Rattus norvegicus: one gene and its partner. The protein of the gene in region 1 binds, or shares a complex with, the protein of each later gene. Links are inferred from orthologs where the notes say so. Each region holds a gene or a part of one and is shown on either strand. Other genes may lie near its edges. The genes, in order: Dlat and Pdk3.

The links.
Region 2: the proteins of Dlat (region 1) and Pdk3 are in contact, whole or in part, in a crystal structure (PDB 1Y8N), measured with the Homo sapiens proteins. The link is inferred for Rattus norvegicus from reciprocal best matches to the Homo sapiens genes DLAT and PDK3. Residues at the interface, in NP_001922.2 of Homo sapiens: Ala225, Leu226, Ser227, Pro228, Thr229, Glu248, Gly249, Lys259, Ala260, Ile262, Glu265; in NP_005382.1 of Homo sapiens: Arg21, Phe22, Ser23, Pro24, Ser25, Pro26, Leu27, Phe48, Lys51, Val55, Asn373, Lys374, Ser375, Arg378.

The regions. Positions count from the first base shown.
Region 1 is NC_086026.1:59,896,843-59,903,652, reverse strand, and holds the start of Dlat (dihydrolipoyllysine-residue acetyltransferase component of pyruvate dehydrogenase complex, mitochondrial), read left to right. Parts: upstream 1-2,834; 5' UTR 2,835-2,844; coding exon 2,845-3,096; intron 3,097-3,511; coding exon 3,512-3,613; intron 3,614-3,990; coding exon 3,991-4,115; intron 4,116-4,259; coding exon 4,260-4,410; intron 4,411-6,810.
Region 2 is NC_086039.1:62,544,208-62,551,025, reverse strand, and holds the start of Pdk3 (pyruvate dehydrogenase kinase, isozyme 3), read left to right. Parts: upstream 1-3,654; 5' UTR 3,655-3,847; coding exon 3,848-3,953; intron 3,954-6,818. UniProt on the Homo sapiens protein: Inhibits pyruvate dehydrogenase activity by phosphorylation of the E1 subunit PDHA1, and thereby regulates glucose metabolism and aerobic respiration. Can also phosphorylate PDHA2.

The DNA of each region.
Region 1 (6,810 bases):
GGAACCATAAGCATGGACTGCCATCCCAGCCCAGAAATGAATACGGGGTTCACAGATCAATTTAAAGGCTGTGCTGCCTCTCCCAAATTCAAGCTGGCTTCGTTTATCACTTAATGTTACCAATTTAAATGCTTGACATATTTAACTTTTAGCTCCGAGTGCTTTCTTTCACTTGGTTTCTGATTACGTATTTCCAACTTTGCTGTATTTGAGACAGGGTCTCACCATGTAGACCTGGCTGGCTGGCTGGCTGGCTGGCTGGTCTGGAACTCTGTAACAGAGATCCACCTGCTCTTTCAAGGGCGAGCAATTTTAACATTTTTTTTTTTTTTTAAGATAGAGTACTTGTGGGGTTGGGGATTTAGCTCAGTGGTAGAGTGCTTGCCTAGCAAGTGCAAGGCCCTGGGTTTGGTCCCCAGCTCCGAAAAAAAGAAAAGAAAAGAAAAAAAAAAGATAGAGTACTTGTAGGTAGTCTAGGCTAGCCTAAAACTGGCCCCCTGGTGCTGGAACAACAGATCAACAGTCATATACACCATACTGGCTATCAGTTTTAACTTTTTTTTTCTTCCAGTTTCTTCTTGTGTTCTTGGTGTTCTCTGACCATCTGTACACTGAGAAGTTGGTATAAATACAGCACATGCTTCCTCCTAATTTAATATCACTTTCAGTTCAGAAATGATAAGGCTTTCAAATTATATAGACCATACAATGGATACATATTTCATAAATGTTGCACATAAATCATTACTGATAACTGAAAAGTCAGGCACACTTACTACTATGCTAATTCAGAAGACAATGAGAAACACATAGGATCCTGATCTGCCTTACAGATTAGTAAAAGAAAAACCTTATTTATATGATGTTCGTGCCACATCAGATGGTCTTTACCCCTCTTCTTCTTCCCTTTCTCCTTCCCATTAATCCCGTTTGTTTCGTTTCTATGTCCTTGGCAGACATATATGATTTTGAACAAAAGTCTAGGATCACAAATGAGAGAAAATAATTTTTGTGAATGTCAAACTCCATTATTAATGACTGAAAAAAATTACAATGTGTATATACCCATTTTAGTTAGATATTCTTTTAGTATGGACACATAGTTTAGGTTTATAAATGAGATATCGTGTGTTAACTGTGCTGCAAGTTTAAAAAAACAACTTAAATATATGATATTGCAATACATAAAGTTGACAAATATTTTGATTTATAGTTGTTAATATTGAGGCTGCTGCCTCACCTAAATCTGTAACATGAGCTGGCAAGATAGCTCAGTGTTGGGCTGGAGAGATGGCTCAGAGTTTGAGTGTGTTAGCATATATACAGAAAATCATGTCAATTTTTAAAAAAATAGGTAACAAAATGTGGACATTTACTGGAAAACTTTGTCCTAATATCAAACCAAAATTCATTGATTGATTTTTCGATGAAATTCAAGTAAGCCACAGCAATTTTAAGATTCAAATACTCTTAACTATTCAACCTAAAGATTATACTGCTACAATGTTTATATATAATAACTGTGGGAAATGTCTGCTTTCTGCAATTAAAACCATTATGTTCACGTGAGAGCAGAAAACTTTGTACAGTAAAACCAGTGCGAATCACACCATGCTTGGTGAATCTGTGCCAAGGTGTTTCAAGCGGTGTTGGCTGGCCTTGTGTGACACCGAGGGCAAGGCAGTGCAAAGGTGTCCTCAGAGCCACAGTTGCAGTGACTCGGTGGAATTCAGTGTAGGCAGCCTTATCTAGAAACAACCTAGGTTGGTGTGATTCAGTTCAGACGCTTAAGGTGCCATTTTTTCTTTTGACTTTACATTGTTACTCCATAGTTTAAGAAAGGTTTTTGATGTTTTCCCATTGAGTTCACAGAACTGCAGAATAGCAGGACAATGGCTTTTGCAAAGTTGTATCTTAAACCTTTCTTTTAAAAAAGAATCTCTGTAGCCCACGCTGGCCTGGCAACTAACTATATAGACCAGACTGGCCTGGAACTTAGGGATCCACCTGCCTCAGCCACCGGAATGCTATAATTAAAGGAATGTGCCACCTTGTCTGCTGTATGTCTTAAATATTTTCGCTATTTAAGAGGATACAGTGGTCATCTGGGGGTAATAAAACAATTTTTACAAACAAGTATCTTTATATTGGGACTATAATTAGTCCTCTGAGACTAACTCGAAATGTGAAAAAGGTACCTTTCTCTTGGCTGCCCTTAATATCATTTGACTGAAAACCCTGCTGCTCCCGTTTCAGGGGGGCTAAGGACCTACGACAGCCTGCGCTGGGCGGGCTCTGCAGTCAAGGGACACCCTCTAATCCCCGGAGGTCACTCGAGGGCCTTTCCTTTCTCCAACTTTTGGAGGTGCGCCCGCACCCACTGACCTAAAGCTTTGGATTACTGTCCGTCCAGACTCCTTTCCCCAGCTTTTTCTTAAAGCAAAGACGGTCATTCCTTTTGGCACCGCCTCCCTGACCGCAGGCTGTAGCCGGTCCGACTCTCGGTCCCTTAGGCCACCACCTTAGAGCTGGCCGTACTTCCCAACCTCTGCGACACCTCTCTTAGGGCCTTTCCCGTTTCTACCAAACGTGCACTGCCCCCGCACTGCCTGGAAACGCCTTCGTCACCGTAGATCCGAGCTGCCGCCTCGGGTCCCTCCCGGCTGTCTCTGACCAGTTCCCCGGCAGACCCACGCCGACGCCCTGCGTTCCGCCCGCCAGTCCAAGCAGCCGCTTTTACGACACTGCGCGACCGCAGTGCGCGGCTGACGGCAGAGCCGCGCTGCTCTTGGAGAGGTCACTCCGGAGACGGCGGAGCCTTTGGGGCGTGGGGTCGGTGGCAGTATGTGGCGCGTCTGTGCGCGGAGGGTGCAGAGTGCTGTTCCCAGGGCCGGGTTCAGGGCTCGGTGGGCAACTTTGAAGGGCCCGCGGACCGGCCCCGCCGCAGTTCGTTGCGGCAGTGGGATACCCAGCTATGGGGTCCGCTCGTTGTGCGGCTGGAGCTACGGCTCTGCCACCGTCCCACGTAACCGCATACTGCAACAACTCCTGGGGTCGCCCAGCCGCCGCTCTTATAGCCTCCCTCCGCACCAGAAGGTGAGTGATCCACCCCGGAGCCTGTTGTCCTTCAGAGCCCGCTTCTTGGCGCGGGGAATCCTCCTTGAGAGGCCTCCGTCAGCCAACTCCCTTTCAGATCTATTATGGTCCCTTGCCCAAGACCTTCCGAGTGGGGATCTCTTCTGTTGAAAGAAGAGCTTTAAGCCTGGGGATATAAGCAAAAGGTCTATGAAGTCTCACGTGCTTCTCAGATTCACCAGACTGACTGGAGGATCAACCTGCCATTGAAAGTCATGAAATTTCTGGGGTGCTAGAACTCCCTTTGTATCAACAGTGACCAATTTGTAATGGGACTCAGTAAATATTTTCCATGGAATTGGGTGGGATGAAACTAAAGCACACTAAAGAGAGTTGAGTATCCCTGTTTAAATGTATGCTTCTTTTTCTCTTGCAGGTTCCACTACCTTCACTTTCCCCTACAATGCAGGCAGGCACCATAGCCCGCTGGGAAAAAAAAGAAGGGGAAAAAATCAGTGAGGGTGATCTAATTGCAGAGGTAAGTTTTAAAATATGCAGATGATTCTAAGGGAGTGGCTTTGTCAATAGACTGAGGCTTAGCCTTCTGGTAGGTAGTTACTTCTTTCTCTTTAAGAAGCTGCTCCCCTCCCCTCTTCCCAGTTATTAGAGATGATTGGTCAGCTAAGTTGTCAGCAGCTAGCTAAAGTGACTGTTTGAGACAAGGTTTCACCATGTAACTCTGGCTGGCCTGCCATGCCTGCTGAATGCTAGCAATGCCTGGCCTCTACCCAAAATGTTTTAAAACCATTCTTTCAAGTCTGTGGTAGTGGGTTTATCTTGGTGTGGATTTCTAGACACGTTCTAATTAACTGCATGTTGGCAGTACAAACCTAAGCCAGTGCCTTGTGCTAACAGGTTGAAACTGATAAAGCCACTGTTGGATTTGAGAGCTTGGAGGAGTGCTATATGGCAAAGATCCTTGTTCCTGAGGGGACCAGAGATGTTCCAGTAGGATCTATCATTTGTATCACAGTTGAAAAGTGAGTTGGAAAAAAAACCTTGTAATTTGTGCTTTTAAAACGTTTTAACTCAATTCGGAAGTTAAAGACATTTGAGGACTTGCTGGGAGGTTAGGGATTGAATTTGCTTCATAAATTCTATATTTATGTATTCTTTTTCTTCAGGCCTCAGGATATTGAGGCCTTTAAAAATTATACATTGGATTCAGCAACAGCTGCCACACAGGCAGCCCCAGCCCCAGCTGCAGCTCCAGCTGCTGCCCCAGCTGCACCTTCTGCAAGTGCTCCAGGTAGCTCCTATCCCGTTCACATGCAGGTAAGACTCAGCTTCTGAGTGCCGGCTCCTGATGACTGCTTCTTTATATTCTTTATGGGTGGTGATTGCATCCTGAAAACTTGTTATATGTAAGTGCCCGTCACTGGCAGTCCACAGAGATTTAACTGTGAAGCTTGACAGCTTGTACTCTCGTTGTTTCCAAGTGTGTGAGCTTGGACAGTTTCTTTAACCTTTCTCAGCCTTAGCTCAGGATACAGGATCATGCTTGGTTTTTCTCATTTGCAAACAATGTTAAAGGTTTTGCAAATGTTTTTTTTTTTTTCCTATACAAGTAGAATTTAAGTAGAGAAGAGGTGCTCTCTGTTGAATGAAAGTCCCCAGATATTTTCCTTTGGTTTAGAGTGGGCTACTTCTTTTTTTTTTTTTTTTTTTTTTCTTTTTTCTTTTTTTTTTTCGGAGCTGGGGACTGAACCCAGGGCCTTGCACTTGCTATGCAAGCGCTCTACCACTGAGCTAAATCCCCAACCCTAGAGTGGGCTACTTCTAAGCATAGATGAAGTATTTCAGTAATACTCATTAATGAGAAAATAACAAGAAAAAATAAGTATGAAGAGACGGCTCAATGGTCAGAGCACTGGCCGCTCTTTCAGAGGACTCAGGTTTGATTCCCAGCAGCCACATGGCAGCTTACTTTTGTCTGTAAGTCTAGTTCCAGGGGATCTAGCACCCTCACAAAGACATACATACAGGCAAAACACCTATGCATGTAAAATAAAAATAAATCATTTAAAAAGAACAAGCAGTATCGAATACGTCTACAGGATGACATTGTAACAATGCTAGTGTCCATAGATGTGATTATCATGAACCTAATATCGTCTAGGAAACTAAGTCATGGTTTTGTTAAGTAGATTTTCCTTCATTTACATAATCTAATTACAGTTTCCTACCTCCCAGATCTTCTCCATTTCCCTAACCTATCCAAACCTGTACCTTTTCCTTCTCTTTTATATTAGAATCTAAAAACGAGAAAAACAATAATAAAATAAAAATAAACTAGAATAGAACCAAACAAATGGAAAAAAGAGCCAAAGAAGAAAAATGTCTACAGACGACAAAGCACATGCACTAAATCACATTATTAGATATTAGAACTTTCCTCTGTGTGTCTGTGTGGTCTTCTGGGGACCGAACCCAGGGCCTTGCGTTTGCTAGGCAAGCGCTCTACCACTGAGCTAAATCCCCAACCCCCTGTGTGGTCTTGATGTGGGAAGTAAAATGTACAGGATTAAGATTTGACCTTTCGGGCTGGAGAGATGGCTCAGTGGTTAAGAGCACTGACTGCTCTTCCACAGGTCCTGAGTTCAAATCCCAGCAACCACATGGTGGCTCACAACCATCTGTAATGAGAGCTGATGTCCTCTTCTGGTGTGTCTGAATAAATAAATAAATTAAAAAAAAAAAAAGATTTGACCTTTCCTTAACCCTATGAGAAGTTTTCTGGGTGAATCAGTTTCTCTCTGGAAATCATGCTCCATTTCTATTGCTAACAATCCCTTATGATGGCATTTTTCTTGGTCTTTAGCTTTCATGGTTATTTCTTTCAGTTCAGCAACCTTATTTTATTGCATAAGACCTCGTTTCTCCATTTTATCCTACTTTGTGTTGAAGTGTTAGAATTGGGCCCTAAGAATCCTTTGAGATGGTAAAGATACATAAATGAGTATATTTCTCCCCACCCCCCCACAGACACATACACACATATACACATACATACACACTCACACACATATACACACTCATACACACAGACTCACACACAGACTCACACACATACTCACACAGACTCACACATACACACACACATACACACTCACACACACACTTATACTTTCACTTACTCACTGGTGATTATGCAACAAAGAAAAGAAACTATGAACCGAAAATAATTTTTAAAGAATTTCTAAGTCTTGCAGGCGTGGTGGTTCACACCTTTAATCCCAGCACTCAAGCAGAAGCCAAACAAACAAAAAACAAACCAAACAAAAACAAACAAAAAACCAGAAAAGAATTTTCTGTCTTGTTTTATTTTTTTCCCCCACTTCTAGAAACAATTTTGACTGAAATGATTTTTTTCCTTACTATAAGGCTATTCCTATTTAAAAGACAAAGAAGATAGCAGATAACTGACAGCCACCCAAATTTAGTGGACACAATTATATAAATAGGAATGCAAGTAAAAACGTATATGTATCAGCTGGCCATGGTAGTACAGGCCTTTAATTCCAGCACACTGGAAGCAGAGGCATGCAGATCTCTGTGAGTTTGAGGACAGCCTGGTCTACAAATTGAGTTCCAAGACAGCCATGGCTGTTATACAGAGAAACCATGTCCAAAATACAAATTTTTTTATATGCATTTAGTGTGTGTGTGGGTACA
Region 2 (6,818 bases), on another chromosome or scaffold:
TCTGAAAACCAGTGTTCTTAACCACTGAGCCATCTCTCCACCCCCCAGAAAAGTGCTCTTAACCACTGAACCATCTCTCCAGCTCCAGTTTTGTTCATTGTATTGATGCATATTTGTTGTGACTTTAAATAGTGATAGGTATTTATGCAGAACACTGTCTAGTGTAGAAGGGGACATTAATCATTGTATAGCACAGTGTTAGGAAGGTTACTTGGAAGTATTGTTTACTAGGAAATTGTGTAGCAGGGACAATGGACAGACTTCTAAGACAGAGAAGGCTTCTGTTCATGTTTAAGTGTTTAAATTGCAATCTGAGGCATTAGGTAGAAGAGATGTGGAGTTAGAGTAGATAGTGTTTCATACATCAGAATCTTGGAAGGCTTGCATATGAGTTAACTTTTTTTGCATCATCCATCATTACCAGCTTAGAAGCTGGAAATAATGAGCATTTATGGCAACAAACTCTGAGGATTTGGGAGTGTTAAGAGTCCAAACATAATCTCCCTTGGCTAAGTGGTTTGTCTTTCAGAAATTACAGGGAGGCTTGAATCGAGGCCTCAGGCCAAAGCCATGTTGCCTCTAGTTTATAAGGTGGGAGGATCTGCTTCTAAGCTTTAAGGGTGAGGAGAAAAAGGAGTAGTGGGAAGAGGAAAAACCAGAGAGGGAGAAGGAGAAGGAGGAAAAGTGGGAAGGAGATGGGAGAAGGAAAAGAAGGTGTGGGGAAAGGGTGTTGGTACATTTGGTCCAAAGTCCAAAATAACTTAGTTTTTAAACCTAATATTTTTTTCTGCCCCAGAATCCCATCTAGGAGAGTACGTTATATTAAGTTGTTATATCTTTTCAGGTTTCTCTATGCTGTGTAAGCCTCTCTGGTTTTCCTGGCTTTTAATGGCCTTGATAGTTTGGGGGATTCTGCTCAGGTTATTTCGAGAGACATAGTAGCTTTCTAAACTAACCTCTGAATGTAATTTCATCACTTGTGACCATAATCTATTTGTTAGAAGCCAATGCTAAAGCTAACCCACATTCAGCAGGAGGGGAATTAAGCTGTAGCTTTTGAAGACAGGACTATAAAAGAATTTGTGGTCAAGTCCTTGAGTCCTAACTACAAAGAGTTGGTTTTAGTAAGACTGTAGTACAATCCAAGAGTTTGCATTTCTAACAAGCTTCCAGGTACTGCTTCTCTGAATGGGCTAGAGATTTATCTTAGGGTTCTATTTCTGTGAAGAGACACCATGACCAATGCAACTCTTATAAAGGAAAACATTTCACTGGGGATGGCTTATAGTTTCAGAGGTTTAGTAAATTGTCATCATGGCAGGAAGCATGGCAGTATGCAAACAGACATGGTGCCAGAGGAGCCAAGAGTTCTACATGTGGATCCACAGGCAGCAGGAAAAGACAGTGAGCTACTGAGCCTGGCTTGGCCATCTGAATCCTCCAAGCCTACCCCTAGTAACACACTTCCTCCAACAAGACCACACCTCCTAATAGTGTCACTCTTTGTGAGCCTTAAGGAGACCATTTTCATTCGGAACACCACAAGAATTCAAGAAGCACAAAGAGGCCTGTGTAAAACCTTATGTGCATAACAAGCTGGAAAAACTTTGAGATTTAAGCTCAAGAGATCCAATAATAACTACTACTGAAATCAACTGACTTTAATTTCTAGATTAATCATTATCACGTACAGAATAGGACCAGATGTGCCTTATATTTATATTAGATATATTTATTTTATTTAATTGCCACAAATAAAGGAAGAGAAGTCATACATCTCCAGCTGACATTAAAATAACTGGGACACAGGATGCTACTAGACTAGTCTTAGGTCATACAGCTTGCTAATGATAGGGTCAAGTTTAGAGCTGGGTCATTTAGCTGTGGACCAGCACAAGTTTCCATTATACAGGCTTCTTTCATATTTCCTCAACTCTTAGAACTGTGCCAATTTTCAGGCAAGCATAAAATTAAGCATAATCATTTTAAGGAATTAAAACATCAGAATAAAATAATTTAAAGTAGCAGTTTGTGCAGCAGAAAAGGAAATTATGAAAAAGTTGATGGGTGAGTTCAGAAGGTTCAGCAGTACTGTGTCACATAGGTGGAAAAACCTCTCTCCCCACCAACACACAACTTTTCCCTTCTCAGTGATCTTCATCCAGAACTGCTATTAGTAAAACTCCACCTGTTGGCAGCACCCAAGAAAGTGAGTAGACAACCATAGGCCACTCCTTGTCTGCCCGAGCACTCCCAACTGCAGTCAGTGTTCTGCTCTGTTGGTAAATCTGCCCTTTACAGAGGTTGTTGCTAAGTCTCTTAAGGCTTTGCTTCGAATGGAAAAGGCAAAGTAGTCCACATATCATATGTTGTACTTAAAAATCTGAATTTTTATCTCTGAATGCACGTGCTTTTTTTCCCTTTAAATTCAACGAGTAGAAGTGCAACAATTTTATAAAGCAAAAAGTGAGTACATAACCAAATGAAGACATGAAACTTTCCACTAATAATCAGACCAAGGAGAATTCTTACCTTTTTTCTAGTTGATGTTTACACAGTAACAAAAATTAATGTTTCCTAGTAATGGTGAAAAGCAAGCAGTAGTTCATATATCCACATTAGCAAATGCTGATTTCATATACTGAGCCATGAATTTAAGCTTACTGTCATGCAAAGAAAATCTAGCACAATGTAAACATAGACTCCTGCACCAAAGTGGTAGTAGTGGTGAAACTGAGTCAGGGTTCTGTGACGGTGAGGGGTTGTGAAAGAGACTGGTCAGTGGCTCTAATTTGAGCCTTTCCAATGGATGTTATGTATGTTTGGGCAATGAAATAATTGTGATTAATCCCAACAAACTGGGAGCAAGGGGATCTAGGAAGCATGGAAATCAAGTGTTAATGACCTTCATTTGTAATGGATTCCTTCAAAGGTGGTAGTGGTGAAAGAAGCATCAAAAAGTGATCTAAAGATGCTGTTCTTGGCCCAGTTGGTAGCTAAGGAGTGTAAGGCCAGGAACCGCACCCAGTGACGTAACAATCCTGTTTTGTAACAATCCTGTCCAAAGGTATTCACCAGAGCGAAGGTGGGCAGTCAGTGAGCAGAGGCCCTGTGGCCAGGTTAATTGATGATACACTGAATCCTGTCGTGTGGCCGGGGTGGGGGGGTGGGGGGGGTAGGAGGGCCAGTAGCTTTCATTTAATTCTGTAATTAATTGTTGGAGAGGATGAAACAAACCGTGCAGTTAAGAAAAAGCATAGGACTGCAAGGAACAACTTAAAGCTGAGGACTCAGCAGATCTGAGGAGGGCCTTCCGGAAGAGGGGCCTAGGGTTGGGAAGGTCTAGAACAGTCCTAACGATATCTCAGGCGTGGGCTCCCAGTGTACTTCAAGTCTCGGAGCACTTCTCAAGACCTGACCCGGGGCGGGACCGGCAGCAACTAGCTGGCTGGTGGCAGGCTGAGACCCACGAGCGAGGGCGGGAGGTTTGTGCGTGTTACCGGGGCTTTAAGGAAGCTTTGGCGGCGGAGGCAGCCAATCAGCAGCACGCGCGTGCAGCCGCGTACCCCTAGCGCCCCTCACATCCCACGCGCGCCGCGTACGTGCGGCGGCAGATCCCGCCTTTTCTAGGCGGGGCTTGAGAACCCGCGGGCAGCCGGCCACGGGCGCCTAACTGCTGCCCGGTGCTTGGGTAGGTGCCGCGGCGGCGACCGGCTACTGGCGCCAAGGCCGAGCCCCAGGTAGAGGTAAAGCCCCGCCGGCGCCGCCTCCTCCTTGTGTCTTGGCGGCGGCGGCCTCTGCTCCAGTCCGGGACGGCTTGGCGGATCTGCACACTCCACCAGTAAGGATGCGGCTCTTCTACCGGCTGCTCAAGCAGCCGGTCCCCAAGCAGATCGAGCGCTACTCCCGCTTCTCTCCGTCGCCGCTCTCTATCAAACAGTTCCTGGACTTCGGTAAGTGTGACTCCTTGGAGCCACCTCCAAGGCCCAGGGGAGTGAGGGAGCCGCCATCCTTGTCCTGCCTGCAGCTGAGGCTCTTCAGCTTCAGGGCAAAGTCCGTGAGAACCTTCGGTGATGGGGAAGCATGCTGAGAGCCCTCCTGGGGCTTAGGTTTCGGGTTTAGGGAGGTGGAGAGGCAGGGCCTGACACCCCCCATGCCCAGCTTCGTCCAACGACCCTCATCCCTGTCAGAACTCCCCAGCTATTCATTATGAGCACTCAAACCGCACTCTCCTTAAAACTTCAGAAAGAGAACTCATAAACGTTTTTGTTTTTAGATGTTTCTAATGGTTGTGTAAGACGTGTTTAGAAACACCTTGAGATTGAGTAAATCACGTAGTGGCGTTTTGTTCCTTTTCTGCTGTAAGGTGTTGGGTAGCCTTGAGTGGCACGACCTGAATGCCTTCATTATGATTAGGACTTCAAAGCAATCATAGTCTTGGGCTGCAAATGCCTTACATGCTGGGTAAGAGCTGACCGGTGGGCTCCTGGCTACAAAGCAGGGGTTCTAGGACAACTCCAGCCTAAGTGTGAGCACCTTTCCTTGATGTCCCATGCACCCTGTTGGCAGCTGGGCTAGTCCTTCATTTTTCATGGATCAGGGTGGGAAGGGAGAGGACCCCAATAAAGCCTGAGGCCTACTTGGATGGAAGTAGATTCTGCCACCTTCCTTTAACTGATCAATCATGTTTCCCCAGAGGATGTCATTCCAACTCCAGCAGGCCGAATGCAGTTGTGAAACACCTGAAATAAAACAAAAATGGAACTCGGCATCCCCAAAGGAAACTCAAGATGACTTAGGCTCTCAAAACCTAGATCTGTTGAAGTCATTTGACTTAAATGTCATGGGATGGTGTCAGTTGGATATAAAAATGCAAAATAGGTAGAACTTTCTGGGAAGATCAGATATACAAAATGTGATGTTGTCTATATTTGGGGGAGAAACAAACGGGATGGAAAGAGGTATAGGTTAGAGGTTTAAGCTGATGTCCACTTAAGTTTTAGAAGCCGGTTGCCAAAGAGAGATGATGAAAATCTAAGATGAGGGAGAAGTTTTTGGCCTTTGCATCTTAAGTTTCAGTTTCAAAAGCATTTCAGTAGTTGGGCTCTACTCCCTCTGGCAATTGATGTATTTATTCTTAAACATTTTATCTATGCATGAATTTGTGTGGCTACACATGTATCATGGTGTGTAGAAGTCAGAGGACAACTTGTGGGAATTGGGTCTCTCCTCCTGGCCTGCTTTCCTATCTTAGGGCTAGAGATTACTGTGAACATAGGAACTTTTTGTTAGGGTAAACAGACAAATTCTCAGTTAAAAGAACAAAGGAAACTTTGCTCACCCCCACCCTCAAAGTTTGTGAAAGTTTGACTAGTATGCCTAAAATTTCAGTTACCTTGCTTCTATGGCAGTGTCTCCCGTGTCAGTAGGCCAGGGTGTTATTTGAATAGGAAAACTACTGGAAGGTTATTGTCATGGTGGTAATCTATGTGGTGAGTATCTAGAAACAAATGTTCACTATTTTAAAGCATTGAGATCAGTGGTTTGGGGGCAGGGCCTCATGCCCTGAATTTCTGCTATTAGTAGTATATGCATGGAGTGTAGGGCACTGGTATTTTTAGAAGACCCCAGGGTCATTCTGGAGCATCATCAGGATTAAAAAACCATTAAGTAGGTATACTTCTGGCTAATCTGCTGCCTCCCTTTTTTTGGCGTAGAGTATTTAAGCCCTTAAAAAATAAGAGTTTCTTGAATCATCTTCACTGGAATTTCAGTCTGCAAGAATAATAAGTATTCTAAGTGGAGTATCAGTTTACAAAGATACTACTGTAGTGGAGTATCAGTTTACAAAGATACTACTGTAGTACCATTCCCGAGGGCAAGATTCAAAAAACAACAACATAAAAACTGCCAGCTCAAGACGGCAGTTACATGGTTCCAAATTCAAAAGATGCAAAAGGACCTAGGTAGAAAATGCCTGTTTCCTACTTCTGTTGACTAGTCTCTTTGCATAAGTTGCACCACATAGTTTTATTTGTATCTTGCTTTTTAAGCGTACTATGAAAGAACTTACTTTATATGTACTTGTAAACTTTTCCTTTTTCTGACTGCTCAGAGTTCATATGGATGTAGTGTAATTAGACGTCTCACAAGTGACAGCTAGTGGGATGTTTGTAGACTTTGCTATGACACAGTACTGCAGTGAAGTATTTCGTACACTGTAATTTCACGCATGTCTGGGTGTGGATAGAAGACAAATTCCTAAAGGTGACCTTGCTCCATCAAGGAGAATGCACATTTGTAATTTTGAGAATTGTTAACAAATTCCTTTCCATAGGAGGTATGTACTTACCCACCCATTGGAAGTTTCTGAGACAGAGTGCCTGCTTTTCTGTACTTTTGCTACATGGTTGTCAGTCACACTTTTGATACATGAAGTCATGTTTACACAGAAATGTGGTTTTTTTTTCTTCAAGTAAGCTTTATCTTGGCCTTTTATTTTGGAAAATTGTATAACAGTGGAAGGGATAGTTTGATGACTCTTGGGTCATTATACTAAAAGCCCTGTGCTGTTTGAAGACAGTTGCATATGCAGGCTGTTAGGCTTGGTTTTCTTTGTGTGAAAGTTAGGCTTGTTTCAGAAAGACACTTTTCTCTGCATTAACACTGATTTATTCTTTTGAGTTGACTGTTCTTTAAAGATTTGGTATAACACTCATAAGAAACCTTCCACAAGTTTCTGTATTCTATGGTCTTGGTCTGTGTAGATTTTCTGTGTCATCTGGAGCCCATTTGGATATATTTTTTTCTACAAAGTC